Arabidopsis thaliana: one gene and its partner. The protein of the gene in region 2 interacts with the protein of the main gene of each other region in a pairwise test. Each region holds a gene or a part of one and is shown on either strand. Other genes may lie near its edges. The genes, in order: MEMB12 and PRA1.C.

Evidence for each region.
Region 1: the proteins of PRA1.C (region 2) and MEMB12 interact in a protein complementation assay, tested with the Arabidopsis thaliana proteins (one large-scale study listed by BioGRID).

What each region holds. Positions count from the first base shown.
Region 1 is NC_003076.8:20,534,208-20,544,132, forward strand, and holds MEMB12 (membrin 12), read right to left. Parts: upstream 4,790-9,925; 5' UTR 4,649-4,789; intron 4,353-4,648; exon of another isoform or gene 4,324-4,352; 5' UTR 4,246-4,323; coding exon 4,019-4,245; intron 3,944-4,018; coding exon 3,673-3,943; intron 3,599-3,672; coding exon 3,437-3,598; 3' UTR 3,219-3,436; downstream 1-3,218. Other genes in the region: UBC33 (ubiquitin-conjugating enzyme 33), read right to left, coding at 159-453, 566-657, 824-851, 947-986, 1,083-1,144, 1,239-1,302, 1,389-1,427, 1,785-1,839 and 1 more; AT5G50443 (uncharacterized protein), read left to right, coding at 6,330-6,535, 6,632-6,677; AT5G50450 (HCP-like superfamily protein with MYND-type zinc finger), read right to left, coding at 9,312-9,925. UniProt on the Arabidopsis thaliana protein: Involved in transport of proteins from the cis/medial-Golgi to the trans-Golgi network.
Region 2 is NC_003075.7:14,529,305-14,538,467, forward strand, and holds PRA1.C (prenylated RAB acceptor 1.C), read right to left. Parts: upstream 4,770-9,163; 5' UTR 4,716-4,769; coding exon 4,143-4,715; 3' UTR 3,633-4,142; downstream 1-3,632. Other genes in the region: AT4G29650 (Cytidine/deoxycytidylate deaminase family protein), read left to right, coding at 1-38; AT4G29654 (Protein kinase superfamily protein), read right to left, coding at 2,297-2,532, 2,608-2,747, 2,839-2,910, 3,122-3,150; EMB2752 (embryo defective 2752), read right to left, coding at 5,191-5,310, 5,676-5,867; ACHT2 (atypical CYS HIS rich thioredoxin 2), read right to left, coding at 6,679-6,957, 7,072-7,251, 7,553-7,804; AT4G29680 (Alkaline-phosphatase-like family protein), read right to left, coding at 8,763-9,163.

The DNA of each region.
Region 1 (9,925 bases), on a different chromosome or scaffold from region 2:
CTTCAAATGCCATACCAAACTCAATGTATCTGTTTTCTTTTCAAGAGAGGGGGAAGAACAAAAGACACTACTTAGTACTGAGACTGAGAGACAATGATAAACAGATTTTACCAGATTGATTTGCAGTCATGTTGTGTTGCGTTGCATTTGCATCTAAATCACAGCTGAAGCAAAGGCAACGCCATTACAACACCGACAATCGATACTAGCAACAATACTATCCAACCCGGTAATGCTTCTTTCTTGTTCCTTCTCCTCTCTTTCAATCCCACTTCTTGAATACTTTCCTTTTTAAGACCAACGCTTTTCTCTGATTCGACTTTCGCATTGTCCTTCTGAGGAAAATCCTGATTCTCAGATGTTGTTGTCTGTTGAGTGGCTGCTTCTTCTTCAGCTACTTGTTGCTGGCTGTACTTCTCGACATACTCGGGAAATAGTTTCCGGAATGTTACACTGCCACAACAGTTTGAAAAAGATGAGAAACATAACATGTAGAAGCTATCTTGTTCTCTAATCAACTTCTGAGATGTATCCTAAACATTTTTTTGGTGGGAATGGAACTTACCTTTTACAATTGAAAGCAAGAGATGACTTCGCCAACCGTTGTTTCTCGGCTACACTAGTGTTTACACTTCCCGTTGTGGGGCTGTTATCCATCTGTGGACCACAAGGTTGTAATGCGGAAAGAAATTTAATGAACGCAATGGAGAATAAAATATCACAGTAAAAACTAAAAAAGACATTGCCATGTTAAATCAGTAAAGATCTAATGACCAAGGATAAACTGAGAGGCTCTGCAAGATGAAACGTTCCATAAGCTTACCATAAATGAGAGAAGTCCTGTAAGTATGCTGCGTTCAGGGAAACAAATTGGTCAAATAAGGATCCATTACTCTGTTTATTTTAATAACTTGAACACAATTTGAATGTACATCAGATCTTATACCTTGACACTGACCACATTGGATTCCAGCTTTCTGGATGAACTGTACATGGAATGATGGAATGATAAAGCTAATTAGATAACAGACAAGTTCATTGAAATTAATAAACAAAGGAATGAAAATGAAGACTGTGCTTACAGTCACTCATAGACAAGCAGATTTTCTTTTGCGTCACAAATCGACCATTTGGTGTGGTCATTCTGCAGCAACAGTAGTTTAGTTGATTGGAAACCAGGAATAAAACATAGGAGAGTGATATTTTAAGTGAGAATTCTGAAGAACGAAAGAGCTTACGTGATTCCAGGTGGCTTGTAAGGATATTCTGGAGGGAACTTGATCTTTCCATAGTAAAATCCACCTATCAAAGAGAATCCGGATATCAGAATCATATACTACTTTGGAATGTAGAAGATCACATTTGAAATGTAAATCTAAGATTTGAACCTGCAAAAGGCGTTCCCTCACTGCCTTCCAACACATAATCTGTAGAATAAAACCCAATAGTTCAAACTCAATTGACTACATTTATATAAATAGTGCAGTAACACTAGTAGCGAGGATAAAAATACCCTAACTTGTAGCAGAATAGCATGACCATTCTCAGTTAGGTAATAGATAAGAAAAACTTTAGGTTTACTTTTCGGTTTCTATAAACAAAGCAAGTTTTCACCATTACATATTACTGGTAATCCTGAAAACATGATACCAATAGTATCTCTGTCACCATAGCAACACGCTATATGTACCTAAAGCCAGTATCCCCATAGCCAAACCTTCAATAGAATAACTAGAAAGCAGAAAATAAAGAAAAGGAACATTAAATAGCCAGATAAGACTTACGCCATTCAAGAATGTCATTTGGGGAAGGACGAGCAACAACATGCGAGACTGGTTCCTAGCAATCCAGAACAGAACATGTCAAAGATACTTCCAAAGTAACATTCATAAGAAAAAAACTTATCCTAGACCAAAAACCATGAAAACTAGCATAGAGCAAAGAAACCACATTTGATAAAAAAAAAAATGAAAATCGAATGGGTAGAATGATACCAGTGACAGACAAATCAAGGATGGGAACAGAATAAGAAGAAAATAATACCTTGCAAAGCGCTCTGTATTCTTTTTGAAGACGCTTTATACAAGCTTTTTCTGCCATCTAAATGCTTCAGGGAGTTCCAATAAACTGTAGTTCCTGTCAACCAAAACAACGAATTGTAAACTGTAGAAAATATAATCCAACCTTTAAGTATGAAATGAATGACAGTAACATAAACCAAATTAAGGTCATCTTCGATAAAGAAACCATCCTGCTTAAGTCATACATCTGGAAAACTGACATGAACAAGCATGTATAATCTACTCCATGACATTGCCGTATAGTTAAGCTATTACTACAATCTCAAGTCACATATAGAGAAGCAACACTTCTTAAAGTATCTGTTCTAAATACAAATTGACAAATTGATACACACACACAAAAAAAGATCACCGTTCAACAAAATTGCCTAAACCCATGAAATTGTGATGAAAACAAAAAAAAAAACTTAAAATTCCAATTAAACAAAACAAACATACACACAAATATTTTGCAATCAGATAAAATTCCAAAACATATCAAAGAATATTCCCTAAAGATCCCTATTGATTTTGAGTCAATCAAGTTAATGAAATCTAAGAAAATCAGAAGAAAGAAAGAAAATAATCGGCGTACCAGTTTGATCAAAGTTTCGTTATTGGATGACCAAGTATAAATCAAAAACACAGGGAAGTGAAATCGTGACAAGGTAAGAGCAGATCCAAGGAAAGAATTGTGAAAATCGGAATCGATCAGGAGCTGGAGCTAATTTGAGATTCTCTTTCTCCGTGTGTGTTTCTCGTTGATTGATGATCAAATCATTCGTTTCTCATATTTCGACGCGGTACAGAGACAAGGAGAGAGGAAAGAGAGAGTGTCGAAATATCAAAAGGAGATTGGTTTTCCTTTAACCGGATCAAAATTATTCCAGTTGAGTCGGTTCTGTATTTAATTATAATTATCCTATCCCGGTTCGGTATTTGTCATAATCAGACCTTTGGGGAATTGACTATTTTGGTCAAAAAAAAACATTGACCATTAATACAATGATGCTAAAGTCAACTGTTTCGAATCACTTTAAATATGAACTGTCTTGAAGCTCATGTTAGTCGCCGAAGCAATGACCCAAACAAATGTAGTAGCTTCTGTGTTAAACAACGATTGCAGTCTCGGAGAAGTTTTGAACAAGTTCTCTTACACTGCGAGCAATACATCATTCTCGGATATAGGAGGAACACATCAAAAGTTGGGGAAGAAAAGTTGGCATAAATCGAGAGCATACTAGACGCAAATGAAATGGAGAATATGTGTACTAGTGTTTTGAAAATGTCTTGTAAGAGGTATAAACAAAACAAAAAAACGTGTTACAAAACTCTCTCCATACAATCTATGGTAATGTAATTAAAGTTCTCTGGTTCTAGCGTGTCCATCTTATGAAGAGATACAATATGACAAGCGTTGCGATCATACCCGCATATTTAATCCAGGTATCAACACGATTACGCCTCTCAATGAGCCTCAATACAGAGTTAGAGAGCCCAACAGTGTTCAGAACATCCAAAGCCTTCCTCTGCGCACTCTGAGAATTCAAAAACCCAATGTTAAAAAACTGTTTTCTTCATTGACTTAAAGCTTAAGTTAGGGTTTGGTTACCTTCAAACGATCCCTTTGTTCAGCATATTTAGAGAGAATAGCAACTCCACTTTGAAACGAATCTTCAAGCATTCTCTTTGAATTCTTAACAGAGTTCATTCCTTGAGCCTCCTCATCAAATATTTGCAAAATGTGAGCTCCTTCTCCACTCCCTCTACCTAACAAATCCGCTCTCTCTTTAGCTTCCAACATCTTCCTCTGATTCCTCCACATGTACTTCTCTAGACTTTGGTTCAAATACTCAGCCTCTTCTCCTACTTGTTCACTCTTCCTACAGCAAAAAAAATCCAAATGCTCAAGAGTTTAACCACTACTTCAGCTATTTTGATGATCTAAACTTCCTCACCTTCTCCAAAGATCACGCTGGGATTTGACAGGGATCGAACGCCAGAGACCGTCCATATTGGAACAAAGAGATTGAACCTCGGTAATGTCTCGTTTCACGGAGGAGGCGAGGTCGGTAGGATCAGAGTCGAACCTCTCCAACTTCTCGATTCCATTCCGAGCTCTTAGTAGAATCCTTTTTGCACTACTATATACCTCAGACAACCCTCCCACTGTCCCAGACGCCATTATACAAACCACAAAGTGACCAAGAACACCGCAGAATCTTCTTCTCTTTGCTGAATTATATCAATATCAACTTCTAATCTGGAACATATATACAAAAACATATTTAAACCAGTTTACTCAAGAATTAATAGTAATCTACATGACATTGACCTATAATTTGGCTCTTAAGTAAAACTTGAATCAAAAGTTAAGCACCTTTCAACAAGATTTGCATAAAACTTAAAATCTAATCCAGACAAATCACTCGATCACGAACCAGCAATTCGATCAAAATCCTAGAAATTATGTTAAGAAAACATCTAATCGGCAATTCATTTGATTCGATCGACTGAAACCAAGAAATTCAACAAAATCGCATTGAGAGAAATCTAAGAAAAGCTTTAGAAAAAATTTATCCGTGTACCAGTTCAATGGAGGCTTGCTTGGGTTTGGAATTTGAATTTGTTACACAAAGCAATTCGTGACCAGATCCGAGGAAAGTTTGTGAAAATCGGATGAGAAATTCTGCGAGGGATTAAAAAAGAATAGCAAGGAGTTGGTTTACTTAAACCGGGAACAAATCCCAATTAAGCAGACGCGCTTGGCTGGTTCTGTTTACAATTCGGTTTTGTAAACAAACACAAGAAATGTAACAAATTAATCAAAGAAAAAAAATGTTCTAAAAATCACGATATTTTTTTTGTTTCTAGTAATCACAATGGTTTCTCCCTTTTCATAAATGGCAAATCTCCCATAAAACCATCTTTTGTATTTTCTATTTTTTCATGGTTATTTTCCTTTATAAAAAAAAAGGGATATCATATGTACATTGTATGGTTTTTAGTATTCTCATAAAATAAAATGTCTTTTGAATTTAAAAGAAAAGAAAAACACTAAATATGAGTTCAGATTTATGAGCTAATTCTAAAAACACTAAAAAATCCGGCCGGTAATTTGAGTTCAAAAACACTAAAAACACTAAATATGAGCTCAGAAAAGAAAAACAATTCGACCGGTAATTTGAACAAAAATAAATAAATCCGAACGATAAAAAATTAAGGAATTGCTAATTAGCCTCTACGGGATCATTGGGGGATTGACACTATCATGGTCAAAGATTGATCAAACAAGCTGTCCATATAATGGTTTGATTAACATAGTTATTACTCCAGCAAGATTTAGCTTAAATACGATTTTTAGGTGTGTATATTTTAAAGTTCTTTTGTTTACATCATAACGTTCTCATAAAAAGTGGATATAAAAAAAAAAGTATATATATATATATATATATATATATATATAAGTTTCACTTTTTCAAAATTGTGCCAGTTGTAAAAGAAACGCAGCCCATGCTAATGAAAAAGTTCCAAGGTATAGTAGTAGTAGCTTCACCTAAAACAATTTGACAAAGATATATTCTTTTTATTATTTATTAGTTTCCGATTTTAATGCAAATAATTATTGAAAATTTGTATTAGTTTACATTGTTAAAAATATGTTTGATTAGAAGAAGATCTTAAATTTTATAAAACTTTCTCTAGTACGTAAAACTCAAACTCTCAAATATATGAAAATTTTGTTTTGCAATTTTCCCATGCAAGTGACTCAAGTCCCAAATATTTGACTGTCTTCTTCTCGCTCGTCCAGTCGTCCCTATAAAGCTTGTTAGGAAAACAAAAATAAAAATGAATGAAAATAATGTTGATGCCTTAGCAATTAGCATAGAGACAAAACACAGCCTGTTAATGTTTTACCTGCAACTTTTGAGATCTCATGAAGTTGGATTTACTAATATTGGTAAACACATAAATAAACGTGTATACATGTGCTTGTATGAAAGTGAGGACACTCTCAACATCAGTGAATGTTCCATAAATTAGTTGATTAAGATAAAAAAAATATCTCAGCATCTGAAATAAATGATTCGGAGAAGAAAAATTAATTCACGTGATCAGATCTCAAAAAAAGTCGCAGGACAATACATACATATCTTACAAAGCCAACAAGCTTTACAAGTTGTCTTTCTCTATCTCCTTCTCTTTAAGACTTTAACTCATCATATTTCTACCTAAAAGTTTTCTCAAGACCTAAAAGAGAATTCACAAATGAAGAGATTCCATCCATCAAGATCGATCTCAATAGCTCTGTTTCTGGTTTTGTTAGCTTTCTTTAGCAGCAAGTTTCACATAGAGGGACATAGAGATTTGAGAGATTTGCAAATAAGCAAAGAGATGAAGCAGAAGTCTCTTGGAGGTGAAGGAGATAGCTTACGGAAAATCCCGAGGAGTCGCTATAGCCCCATACAGAACAAGTAAGTACACGATCAAATATTTTCCAATCTTTTCACACACAAAAAAAACTAAATTATTTGAGATTTTGACATCAAGATTGTGTATTTTTGTACCAGGAGAGGTCCAAGTAGGAAACATCAGATCACATCACATGAACCATAGATTTCATCTCTAGTTTTTTATTTAGATCTTCTGATTTTTTGTATTTTTTTTTTGTTGTAGAATAGTATTGCCTACACTTGTTTGTGAATGCAGCAATGTAGAGTTTGATACTGTTACTATTCTTAGAATGTTTTTTTCTTTTCTTACTGGAAAGTCTTACTCTGATACTGTTCTATTGAGTCAAGGCTCTTTGTTTAGACCTCTAAGGAGTGTTTATTGGATTTTGTAGATTTTGCAACATCTTGAAGCTTATATTTGTATTTATTACTTGACTTTGTATCTGTTGTTTCACCGCATTTGTTCTTCCTCTGTTTTGTTCGATTTTCATCATGTATCTGCTCGTCTTGATTTCAACTGATCAGATTCTGTTGTCATAACAACAACAAAGAAATGGTATTGTAGGGTTTCAAATGAATGAAGTTAATAACATATATATCACCTCTCACAAAATGCCCTCGATGTAAAAAGAAACATGCACAAGAAAACTTGAGAAATTTCTTGAAGGATCAAACTAAATTAGTTACCGAGTAAATAGATGCCGTGGAACATTAGAGTTGTAAGTTACTGACTTACTAGTATGAGAGAAGAATGACTTCCTTTGTTCAATAAGATCATTGGAGATAAACTAATATAACCATATCTGTATACAAACTTTCATGAGCCACTACTTCTAAAATCGCCTAAAATGGATATTTAAAAAGAGTTGTAACAAAATGAAAAACTCCAAATCACATCATGGAAGCCAACAGAAAACGGTTTTCCAATTGTAGAAGTGATTGAGAATAAACAAACAGTTTAGACAGACATAAGAGATACTGAGTTACTGATGATGAATTCAAAGATATTTCATGTCATCCTACTAAATTTGTTTAGGGGTTTCTCACTTTTGTTTCTTTGTTTTTACCTTATGTTCCAAACTTCAATCTTACAGAAGCTGCAACAAGGATTGAAGTCCAAGAAGTATGCTTTATGTTACTTTGATAAGGAATAAGAATTTAAGAGCTTCAAGCGTGGATAGTTTAGTGTTGTTGTTACTTCTTCTCATACTATCTATGAATTCAAAACATGAAACAAATTTACTGCAATGTTGGAAGCGATCGTTTGTTTGTCATATCAACCATGATGTATCTTATAAAACAGATAATGTGTGCGAGGAAAAAAAAAAAAAAAAAAAACACAGATAATGTGTGCAACTTAAAGTAGAAGTTATTGTGGACATTGTGTAATTATATTTGATACAAAAAGGCTAGAGAGAAAAATCAAAGGGTCTTAACGAGAAAGAAGAGATAGCTAGGTCCCAACAGGAACAAAAGAAACATTGTCTAGAGAGTAATGGTTTATAATTTTAGTTTTAAGTTCCAACCAGAAGAAGCTGGAGCAGCTTGGGGCAACACAGCTATGTCCCATCCATCTGTTGCTGGAGCCACATGAACTACAAAAAAGACACACAACTTACAAAAGCATTAACATCGAAATCAGACTCAAAAGCATTAAGGATCTTTGTCCAAACTTACCACTTGCAGGAGCAGGTGCAATTGGATGATTAGCTTCATCATCATCCAACATTCCTAGTTAGTGGTCGTCTCTTCAGGCTCCTTGTACTAGAAGAGGTTGTTCTATACAACGAACGTACCATATGATTATTGATCAATACGAATTCATGTAACCACATCATGATCAAACTCTCCAATATTGGAGCTTGAGAGATATTCCCCTTACAATGACGTCCACCACATGATGTCTTTCAGTCTTTGTGAGTTCTAAACCGCAACGATAACTCCAGCCATTTGCTAATTGCTACCGCTTCTTCTTTGATGTTTTAGCCATATTGTAATTTCGGTTCATGATTACCGAATTTCTGTGCTTCCTCTTATCGAGCCAAGAACCGAAATCAAACCAAATTGAACAAACTTTAGTTCGGTTCGGTCCAAAAGTCCAGGCTAGTTTCGCTTTTCATTGATTTCTCGTGCCATTCTCTAAAAGATTCTGAATTTTGGCAGCCTTGGCCTTGAGCCTCTTGTCTTATTGGTACTTTTTGGGTAAATAAACGAAAATACCAAATTTGTAGCTTTCTGTTGGAGTTAAATCTTAATATCGATTTTGAAGATTAATTGTTTTACGTCTGTATTATATATGCTTCTTGTGTACGAATTGAAATTACGTAATTTGATGGTGGAATACATGTTTTATTTTTGTTTGACAAAATTGATGGCTATTTGTCAACATACTTCCATCAAAAAATATCATGAAATAATTATATGCTTGGTTCTTGGAAATACTAAAAGTTTGTATTCGTATCTGTATCGTATAAATGAGTTAAAACCTTTTAAGATTTATTTCTATATTCAGCATTATACTTTTCTACAGATATTTATCTCATAAGATAATAAGTCACACCTTTGCGACCCCAGTTCATGGTATATGTAACGGCAAAAAACTATATTATTTAAAATAACATGCCAGTTTAGTATCAGAAGATTCAGAAACGCCATTAGCCAAAACTAATTAATTAAGAGAAGAAATTAACATTAAATTTTTTAAAACATAATTAAATAACCCAAAAAAAAAAAAACTCAACAGTCAAAGAAACTGTTGGCATTTCAGTCATTTCCTTGAAAAAAAGCGTTAGAGCCGTTACCGCTCACCATGATTATCATCAATCTCCACCGCCACCGCTTCACCGTCGTCGCCAATCTCCGCCGCTGCCGCAACCCACAAATCCAACGGCGTACATTCAACCTTATGCTTCGCTCTCCAATCCAACGCCTGACAACCACGCGAGCAATAATTAACCTTCCCACAAACAGAACATCGCCGAAACTCATGAGCCCGAGTCTCCGGCCTTCCACAACCACCATGCGAACACATCCTTAACCCTTCCGCTAAATCAACCCGACCCGAACTAAACCACTCTTTTAAAAACCGGTTAACCGGATGAATCTCCTGAACCGGAACCACGCTTAAATCAGTTAAGGTCTCGTTCTCGTCCCCAGATTTCAGAGAGAGGTAAGAGCGTAGAGAACACGCGAGCTCACGCGCGTTAGCTTGAATCAAAAGACGACGACCTTCGGAGACGTCACGAGGAACACCGTAACCGTCTTGAAGACAGTGACCAAGCTCTCGTAACGCATCGACGTGGCCTAAATAAGCAGAGCGTGCACAAAGAGCAACGCCGGCGCGTAGATTCTTATCGGTTTTTGAACCGCCGCTTCCGTTAAACTGAATCACCGATAACGAATAAAGCGCCG
Region 2 (9,163 bases):
TCAGTGTCTTCCGTTGTCACAAGACCGCAGAAAATTGAAGCATGTTTATGCTGCCTTGATGATAGATTACTGATGCGTATACTAAAGATGATAGATAAAAAATGCTAATATAAAGGAAACTAACCCAGTGGGGGAATTACACATGCATATTCTGGTGATTAAAACTTATGATGATAAAATAGTATTAATCATAATTATGTTATGTTTTGGGCTTCTTCTTTGGTTTTATGTATTGTTACCTTAATTACCTTTTAAATAATGTCAATGCATAATCTTTCACGATGTCAATTCACTTTGCACTTAGAAATGTCACTGTTTTTGTTTGTCACAATACTTGGCTCCAAACGAATAATATTCTGAATTGCTTTTGTCATTACGAATAACATATTGTTCTATAAACCTACGATTATCCGATTTTTTTCCTACATTAGATACGGACCTTATTAAATCATATATTATTGTGTCTTCTGTTTATGATAAAATTAAAATAAGAATCTGACGTAATAAAGTTATCGAACCTTTTTTGGTTTTGCAGAAGCAAAAAAAAGTAGTAAAATAGATATCTTTGCATGAATCTCCATTAGTTGGTAAAATAAAAGTCTCACTTCCAAACGTATCGAAGTAGAGAATAATGTGGTCCACTGACCAATGGCAAAACTCCTACTAAGTGCGCAATTGGATAATAAGAATTTAGAAGGGTTGAATTTAAGGATTATATATTTGTTTTTCACAGAAGATGGTAACAGCTTCCATGAACTCCTAAAAGTCTTATTACAAAAGTATAAAGATTTATTTAATTTCCACATTTTTGTTTTTACTATATTCAATACCATGAAAATGTGACGAACTACAACTATTGAATTATTATTTAATTACTACTCTTTAGCACATTCCTTTCTAGTTTCTACTAAGCTACTAAAGTAATCCTAACTACTATGAAACAAATTTTCTTTGGAAAAAAGGTCACGAGTCATTATGCATCTTGAATAATTTTCTTATTTTATATATTTACTATTCATACCATGAAAATGTATTAAAGTAAAATTATTTCATTGATTTTGACCACTCTAATTTCTACTAAACTACCAACGTAATCCTAACTACTTTTTGTTTGCTTTGAAAACTGGTTCATGAGTTAATTTCAACAAGAAAAAAAGAAAAATGGTTCCTGAATCACACATGAATCTTATAATGTAATCACTCAATCTAGTTTGTATGTTGTAATCTTACATACGAGGTAAAGACATCGAAGTAGAGAATAACGTGGTCCATTGAGCAAACTCCTGCTAAGTGTTAGGGCCGGCTCAACACTATCAAAGGCCCTAGGGCAAAATAACATTTTGGGCCCATAAAACCTTTTTTGGGTCTTTTAGTATATAAAAAAAAAGGGGAGATTTTTATAAATGTACCAAATTTTATTAAAATCTTGAACAATATACCCAATATATGGATATTTGAAAACTACAGATTTTTTATTGAAGTTTTACCATAATTAAATATAATGGATAAAATTAATTGACATTTTCTAAAATAGTTTGAATATCTAATTTCTTAAATATAAACAGTTTAGTTTAAAAATAAAATTTGTTATAACTAATTAATCAATTTATTTAGTGTCTTATTTCTAATGGTTTCTATTTATTAAGGACAAACATGTCATTTTAAAACCAATATAAAATATATTTCAAATAGTGTAATATTATAGTGTAGATTTCAAATTAATACTAAAATATAAGGTATACAATCAAATTAATCCTAAAGTAAAACACTTCTGCAAAATTTATATAACTAGTTGTTTATAATCATATGCCAATAATCACAATACAATAACTTCTTAAAAGCAAATCTAAATGTAATGTCAGAACAATATAAATCTAGGAATTTCCAATGTTACATGAAACAGAGAAGATTTTTTACATATTGGTACATCAAGCTCTACATTCAAGATATCTTTCGAATAATGTATATATTAGCTTAACTTGCGAGAGGGTAAAACCCCAAAGATTCAATAAAGAAACCCTAAATTGAAGCCCAAGAAATTCAATAACGATACCCTAAATTGAGACACGAAAACCTTGAATAAAGCGAAATCAAAATAAAAATTGAGGCATAACAAAGCTATATATACTAGTGAATAAAGAATCCCTGCTTCACATTGACCAAGAAACCACAAATTTGAAACAAAAATCATGACGAAGAGGTTAGACTTTGAACTTAATCATATTCAAAACTTACACTTCTACTATACAAATGAACCATAAACTCTACATCACACTACATATCTATAGAAGTTCCATCAAACCACAATGATACCGCTGCTGCTTCCCTCCATCTCTTGCTCCTTCCATCTCTTTACAAGTTCTAATACACTTGTGTCCTCCCTGTCGTTGTCTACGATTTCACTAGGCTTCCAAGTGTCACAGAGTGAGGTAAGTGTAGAGACAACATACTTCATCTCTGGTCTCTGAGTGAGCTCCTTGGCGCAGCAGTGAATTGCTAGTCTCGCTACGTCGTCAATGATGTTGCGGTTCTCTTCATTCACTTAAATTGTTTCGTCAATGGCTTCTCTAAAAGAGTTTTTGTCGATGCAGACTCTCCTGAACCAACTGAGAATGTGATGTTCAGCATCTGATCGCTTCTTGTCTAAAGCTTCCTTGCTTGTGACTAACTCCATGAGAATAACTCCAAAACTGTAGACATCAGCTTTTGTAGTTACCCTTCCAATCAATGCACTTACAAAGTTTAAGCTGTTAGATAACAATAACATTGGTGATCCGATGTAATAAACATTAACAGATTAGAGAAGAAGCATACATGCGTATTCAGGTGCCATGTAACCATATGTGCCGAGGATAGACTTTGTCATGATTGATTCGTTGCCCTCTGCTGTAGATCGGGTCAAACCAAAATCTGAAACCCTACAAAAAAACAAAAACTTTTAAGAGAAAAATAACGGTAATATCGATTGGACTACTTTTTTCGATCAGCTTTTTTGTAAAATTTGAGGATATTAAATGATCGTATTTAAAATTATTGTCAAAATACTTAGATTTGTTATTTTTGATCCAAAAAGTTCAAAAATATATATAAAGCATGATAATAACGAAATAATAAACAATACATCCTCAAACCAACTATTTTAAAATGCATAGAGTTTGGAGGAATAAGGAGAAATCTTGAAAATTTATATATATTTTGCTTGTAGTTTGCTTTTGTTTTTCTTATGTTTTATCTTCTTTTTTTGCTTTAAATTAAACATGATTAACAAACTTTATATTTTGGTAATTCTAGAACACTATAACATATTAAAAAAATTATAAACAAAATAATTCTTCATAGACAATATAAACCTATGTAATTATCTCTTTGAAATAAATAAATTAAATATGTTTATTAGGAATAAGTCTTAGTTGGTTTTGCTTAACATTTACCAAATGTAAAAATATTGTATTCACTCTGGGACTAGGCCGGTTGATATTAGCGAGACGTCTAAACCACCTCAGATATTTTAGAGAGTTCCTTTTAAACACTTATCTCTTTTACAATTATCTAATTTTTTTACTAAAATAAAAATTTAATTGTATAATCAAATTATAGTAAAATATTAATATTTTTTTTATTTGAGAATTTTTTGGGGTTCTCTTTGTTGGAGATGGTCTAACTACTTCTTCATGTCGTGTCTAAAAAGTAAAATGGTATATATAGCCAAATCCCTATTGCATTTGAACTTGATAATTGTTGTGATAAAATTAAAAACTAGATCATTGTTCATATAAAGTTACAACCTTTCAATTCGTAATTGTTGAAAATGAGAGAATCGATTGGATAATTTGTAATAAGTGATAACTGAGAAGAGGATCACACTTGTCTTCGTTATTGTATTGGCTTGTTGGAGATAATTAGATAGGAATTCTATCATAGGATAATGTTTTTAATCAGCACGCAAAATTGCCTTTTATTTGTCACCAAGGTCTCTGACATGCATCAGTACATCAATATCCACATCCTGAATTTTGATCGCAAAAGAGCTCAAGTTCTTTTTGCAGCATGTTAACGTTCCTTCACTGGATATGCGTTGTTTTGAACTATGTAGACAAATTCAGGAAAGAAAAACTGAAAATCTTGTGCTCAATTGTGAAGACTTAAGAGGAAGAAGAAAGTGACGAAGATGATGTGTTCATTGCCACTTTCTCTTCATCATCTTCCAAGACGAACAACATCTCTGTATTCCTCCTACACATGCCATGAACCAGAACAACGGGCAAACCAGCCAAAACCCCGATCACAATACCGCGGGATACATCTGTTAGTAGAAATATACCGATCGTGAGGACCAACAAAACCAGCACCAAAGTAGAATCATCGATCACACTGCCAAATATCACCCATGGTTCATTATCACGGGAGTAGACATATAGCCATGCTACTATCAAGATAACAAAGACGGAAAGGTGGACGGGTTGCCAAAGCATGCTGATGAAGATACTAACAATGAAGATAACAATGTAGTTGGTTCGAAAGATCATGATGTTGGATTTGATTCGTTCAGTGGCAACGCTAAAGGAGATAGGAAGGCTAAAGGCACTACATTGGACAAGTTCAAGCCATGGCCTTTGAGAGCTAAGACCTAACGAGATCAATTCTTTGGCTCGTCCTAATAAGCTCAGGCTCGACGAAGCATTTTCTTGGGATGGTATAGTGCCATAGGTTGTCATATTCTTTCACAAGCAACAAACAAAAAAAAAAAGGAAGGAAAGAAACAGAGTACGTCCCCAGAGGAATCTATATGGACTAAAGAATGTGAAGCAACCTAATTTGAAGAGAAAAATCTGTGTTGGCTCAATGTTTCTGAGGTAGTTAGATCATCTATCTTATTTGGGAATGTTTTATTTCAGGACACCAGAAGAGAGGCAGATACAAGCAGAGATATTCAAAGGAATGAATGGATACCCTTAAACTTCTCAAATCAAATCCTTATACTATAACGAGACTGTCATTACATGTAATTTCTAGAAAATAGATTCTTAAGAGAGTCATTAGACTCGAAATACAGACACAAACATTCTACTGAACCAAAAGAAGTTTTTTGATATACATATACTAGTGAACCAGTATAAATCCATTTATATCTGCGTATCAAAGTCGGAGATACATCCTTCACCATAGTCTCTGATAGCCTAATCGTTAGCTTCACTGGCTGCTAGCATCTGAAGCAATAGCCTCACCACGATAAACTCTCCATGGTCCTCGATAGAATACTGGCTTCATCAGAGGCACTGTTTTCCCTGGGTGCTCTTCCCAAAACTTCTCCTGTTTACAGAGAGTGGAGTAACATAAAGTTCACACTCAAACAAGAAACATAACTGATACTAACACAAAACAGTGTAAGAAACACATTGACAAAGAATACAATATACTACAGAACAATGAATTAGATTAGATACTAATCAAGACGTAAAAGCTTCATTGAAAGACCTAATGAACCATTCCCATGAAAAGCAATTCAAGTATAGTTCTTTTCATGATCACACAATCCTTTATTAGTAATCAACAATGAATCATTTCCAATTTTATCACATTTCGAACCCTAACATTTACCAATCACGAGAATCAAATTAGAACCCACAAATCTAATAGCAATTCCGGGCCTGAATCGATAACAATACGAAGCTGACCTTGTAGAGCTGCTCTGTAACTGCAGCGCCGATGACGCCGGTGTAAAAGGCGGCGACATAGATAGTAATCAAAGTTGTGAAGGTTTTTGGTCGACGGTAAGGTTCGATCATTTCCCAAACAGCAAATCTCTCGAACTTATTGTACTTATAATCAGCATATTTCCTCCATAGTTGGCTCCACACTCCTTGCATCTCTCAGATTTCTCTCTTCTCAAACCTTCGCCGAATTTTGGATTTCTCCGTCTAGCTGTTTCGCGGCGGCGCGTGGGAACCTGAGAAAAATCTGATATCAAAAGGCAAGACTTTAAACGTTAAAACGTTTACCAAACAGTCCTCTTATTCCTACATGTTTTAGTTTTCAGCCCTTAACTTATCTTTAACACTTAAAAGTCTTGAGCTCACATTTGTAAATTTTTAAAAAATCTTATTTGATATGATTCTTGTAAATTTGTAAATTGTAATCACAACACATGATTATTGTAACCATTGTGCTATGTATTTGTTTTTCACTATCGTTCGGTAAGTTGAGAAAGTTATAAATTTACCCCAAAACTATGGAAATGAGACTTATGCAACCTCACATGACTTCATCAATAAGCTTGCTTTAAAGCAATAAAGAACAGCAGTAGTGAAAATACATTTGCAATTGACTATTAGCAGAAGAATCGTAACTGGCTTTAGGAAGTATTCTTTTACACCCAAAAATATGACGATATACAGAATTTTAAGCTGAGTATTTGCTTGAGCAACCAAAGATTGTTGCCTTAGTAATATATCTAAAAATCTGGCACTTCAACTTGATGCAGCTGGTTTGGCTAATGTTAAGCCTTCAGGTACCTTGGCTGGACCGAGGCTGCAACGATCGGTATTGTGCAGTTGGATTGCATCTTTTATCTTCTGAAACTGAATACACACAAATATTCAAAAGAAGAGGATGTCAAATAGTAATCAGAGACAGACCAAATGCATTCAACCGGTTTTGGTATCAATATCAGCAAAGGGTCTATAATATTTGATAGATCCTATCGAAAAAGAACAACGAAGTAGTTCTCTTTGTTTGAAGCGTTATGCCAAGCTCTAGTTGCGGAAAAGGTGAAACCGAAATAGCCTTCTTTACCTTAGCAAGAGAACATGAGAATGACTCAAGCTGACCATCAGCTCCACGGTAAAAGTGGAAAAAAGGAAGCACTCTCACGTTCAAACTCTTGCACATCGGTTTATTCTCATCAAAGTTTACTTTAAGGAACACTATATCGGGATGTTCCACCGCTGTCTTGCAAAGCTGAAAACATTTTCAAAACAGACACAAAAAAAACATCTAAATTTCTCACAGAATCACGAAAGAGAAATGAAACTCTTATAGTTTCATGGAATAGATACGTCACATGACACTAACCTTTGGGAACAATGCTCTGCAAGAAGCACACCAAGTTCCATAAAACTCTACAATAACTAATCTTTCACCCGCACCGCTTAAAGCGCTCAAGAACTCTTCAGTAGAATGAATATCGACCATGTTTGGAGCATTCCTCTCCCACCATTTCGGTGGCTCTGTCTCGGCTACATTTTCATCTACCTACACCACAAACCCACATCAGAAACATAAAACTATGGCCGAAAGCATCACCATCTAATCAAAGCAATCAATAGCATCACCGTCTCTAACAAAAAAACTGAAACTTTAGACTAAATTCTAAACATCTGAAGTGGAATGAGAACATAACAGTGAGCTAAGGTCACAATTCACGTTTAGGCTCTAGCTAGAGGCGAAAGACCAAATCGAATAACAAGAGATCAGAAATGGGCTCAAGAGTCTCAATTTCCAAAAGGGTATACGATTTACGGACAGAATCAGCTAAAAGGCAAGACATTTGTACCTTGACACGAACCACTTGGCTCTTGGGTCGTCTAAGGGGGAGATGGCTTCCGAGACCAGAAGATGGGTGGTAATGAGAAGACGAGCAGGAAGGAGAAGATGAGAGAAGACGCAATCTCTTGTCGGAATTCAGATTCGAGTTTGGAGGTAAGCAAGGTTGCAGAGGATTAAGAGCGGTGGCAAAGGAGCTGAAGGACGAGGAGACACGAATGGCTTGAACCGACGTCGTCGTTAATCGCACAACTCCAGCCATCTAAATGCACCCAGAGAGAGAGATAGAGACTGAGATTGTTCTTGGTTTTGAATCTTCTCCGAGAGATCCTCTAAGGAGAAGAAGATCAGAAACTGTCTGGTTCAGATTCCAGTGATATTTCTCTCATCATGTCTCTCCAATTATACATAGACGCGATTTTTCAACATTAAATAGCGTTTAAACCGCCATCATCCACTTGGCGTTTTGTCGATATGATAGTTGAAAAAGCGTAAACGCGTTTTTGTTTCTCCGTTAGAATCGTGTTTTAACACGGAACGCAGATAAGTAATGCTTTTTTCTTTACACACATAACAAACTTATTTACTTAAATGCCATCTATGTTTATTTGTTATTTGGATCCCAACTTTAATTGATGTACAAACACAGAAAAATCTAAAGAAAAATATCAAATTTGAAGGCGATTTGGGTTTAATTAGATTCGTATTTTTGATCAATCAAGTCTAGCATATACTTAGGTTTGATAAGTTTTCTACTTTCGATCACGATTTTAAAAGAGGAAGGTTCTTGTTATAAGGATTTAAGTGAATCTGTTCTGTTCCAATAAACTAAGCAAGTAATGAAAGAAAAAACATAACATGTGATGCAACAAAATCATTGCAAGAAAATAGGACACATCGGTGATAAGTGTTGATAATTCCAACATACACTAAATTGTTTCCAATTATTGGCAAAGAATCGAGTATCCAATTCAAAGCATTGTTTCTTTGAAGGAAAGTACAAAGCTTCCAATCTTGGCATCAAATGTCAAGACAAGTTTCATACTCCGAAATACTACAATACGTTTTAGTGCAACTTCGTGATGAAATCATACAAAAACAGCAATCAGATCAAAACGCATAAAACGTCTAAGAGGTCAAACGCGTTTATGTTTTGACAACAAAGTCTCAAGAGTCTAGACTGCCTTTTATTGACAGAAGAATAAACTTACCCTACTCTTCTACACGCGTGGCAAGAGAATGCTTGAAGAAAACTCATCAGATCCATTGTTTGGTGCTGCCTTAAGTCCTAGAATCGAACTGATCACATTGTATATCTGAACATTCTCAAAAGAAGGCACTTTCCTTCCTTTTGAGAACATAGGACCATGCCCGATGAATATAGTTCTCATCGAAAAGAAGGCATTGTCATACCCGTGAGCTCCACCGCATTCCTTGGCTTTACTTTTCTTCTGCTCCACCTTGAAGCCCTCATCGACTAGTCCTATAATAGGCGGGATGCGGTCACTGTCTACATAATGCAGCCTGCTAGGTAAATCCTCTTTGAGATAAACCTTCAAGTACTTCCCATTCTCTACTTTACCCGAGCTCAAACCTTCGTTTATCTTAGCCACTATATCCG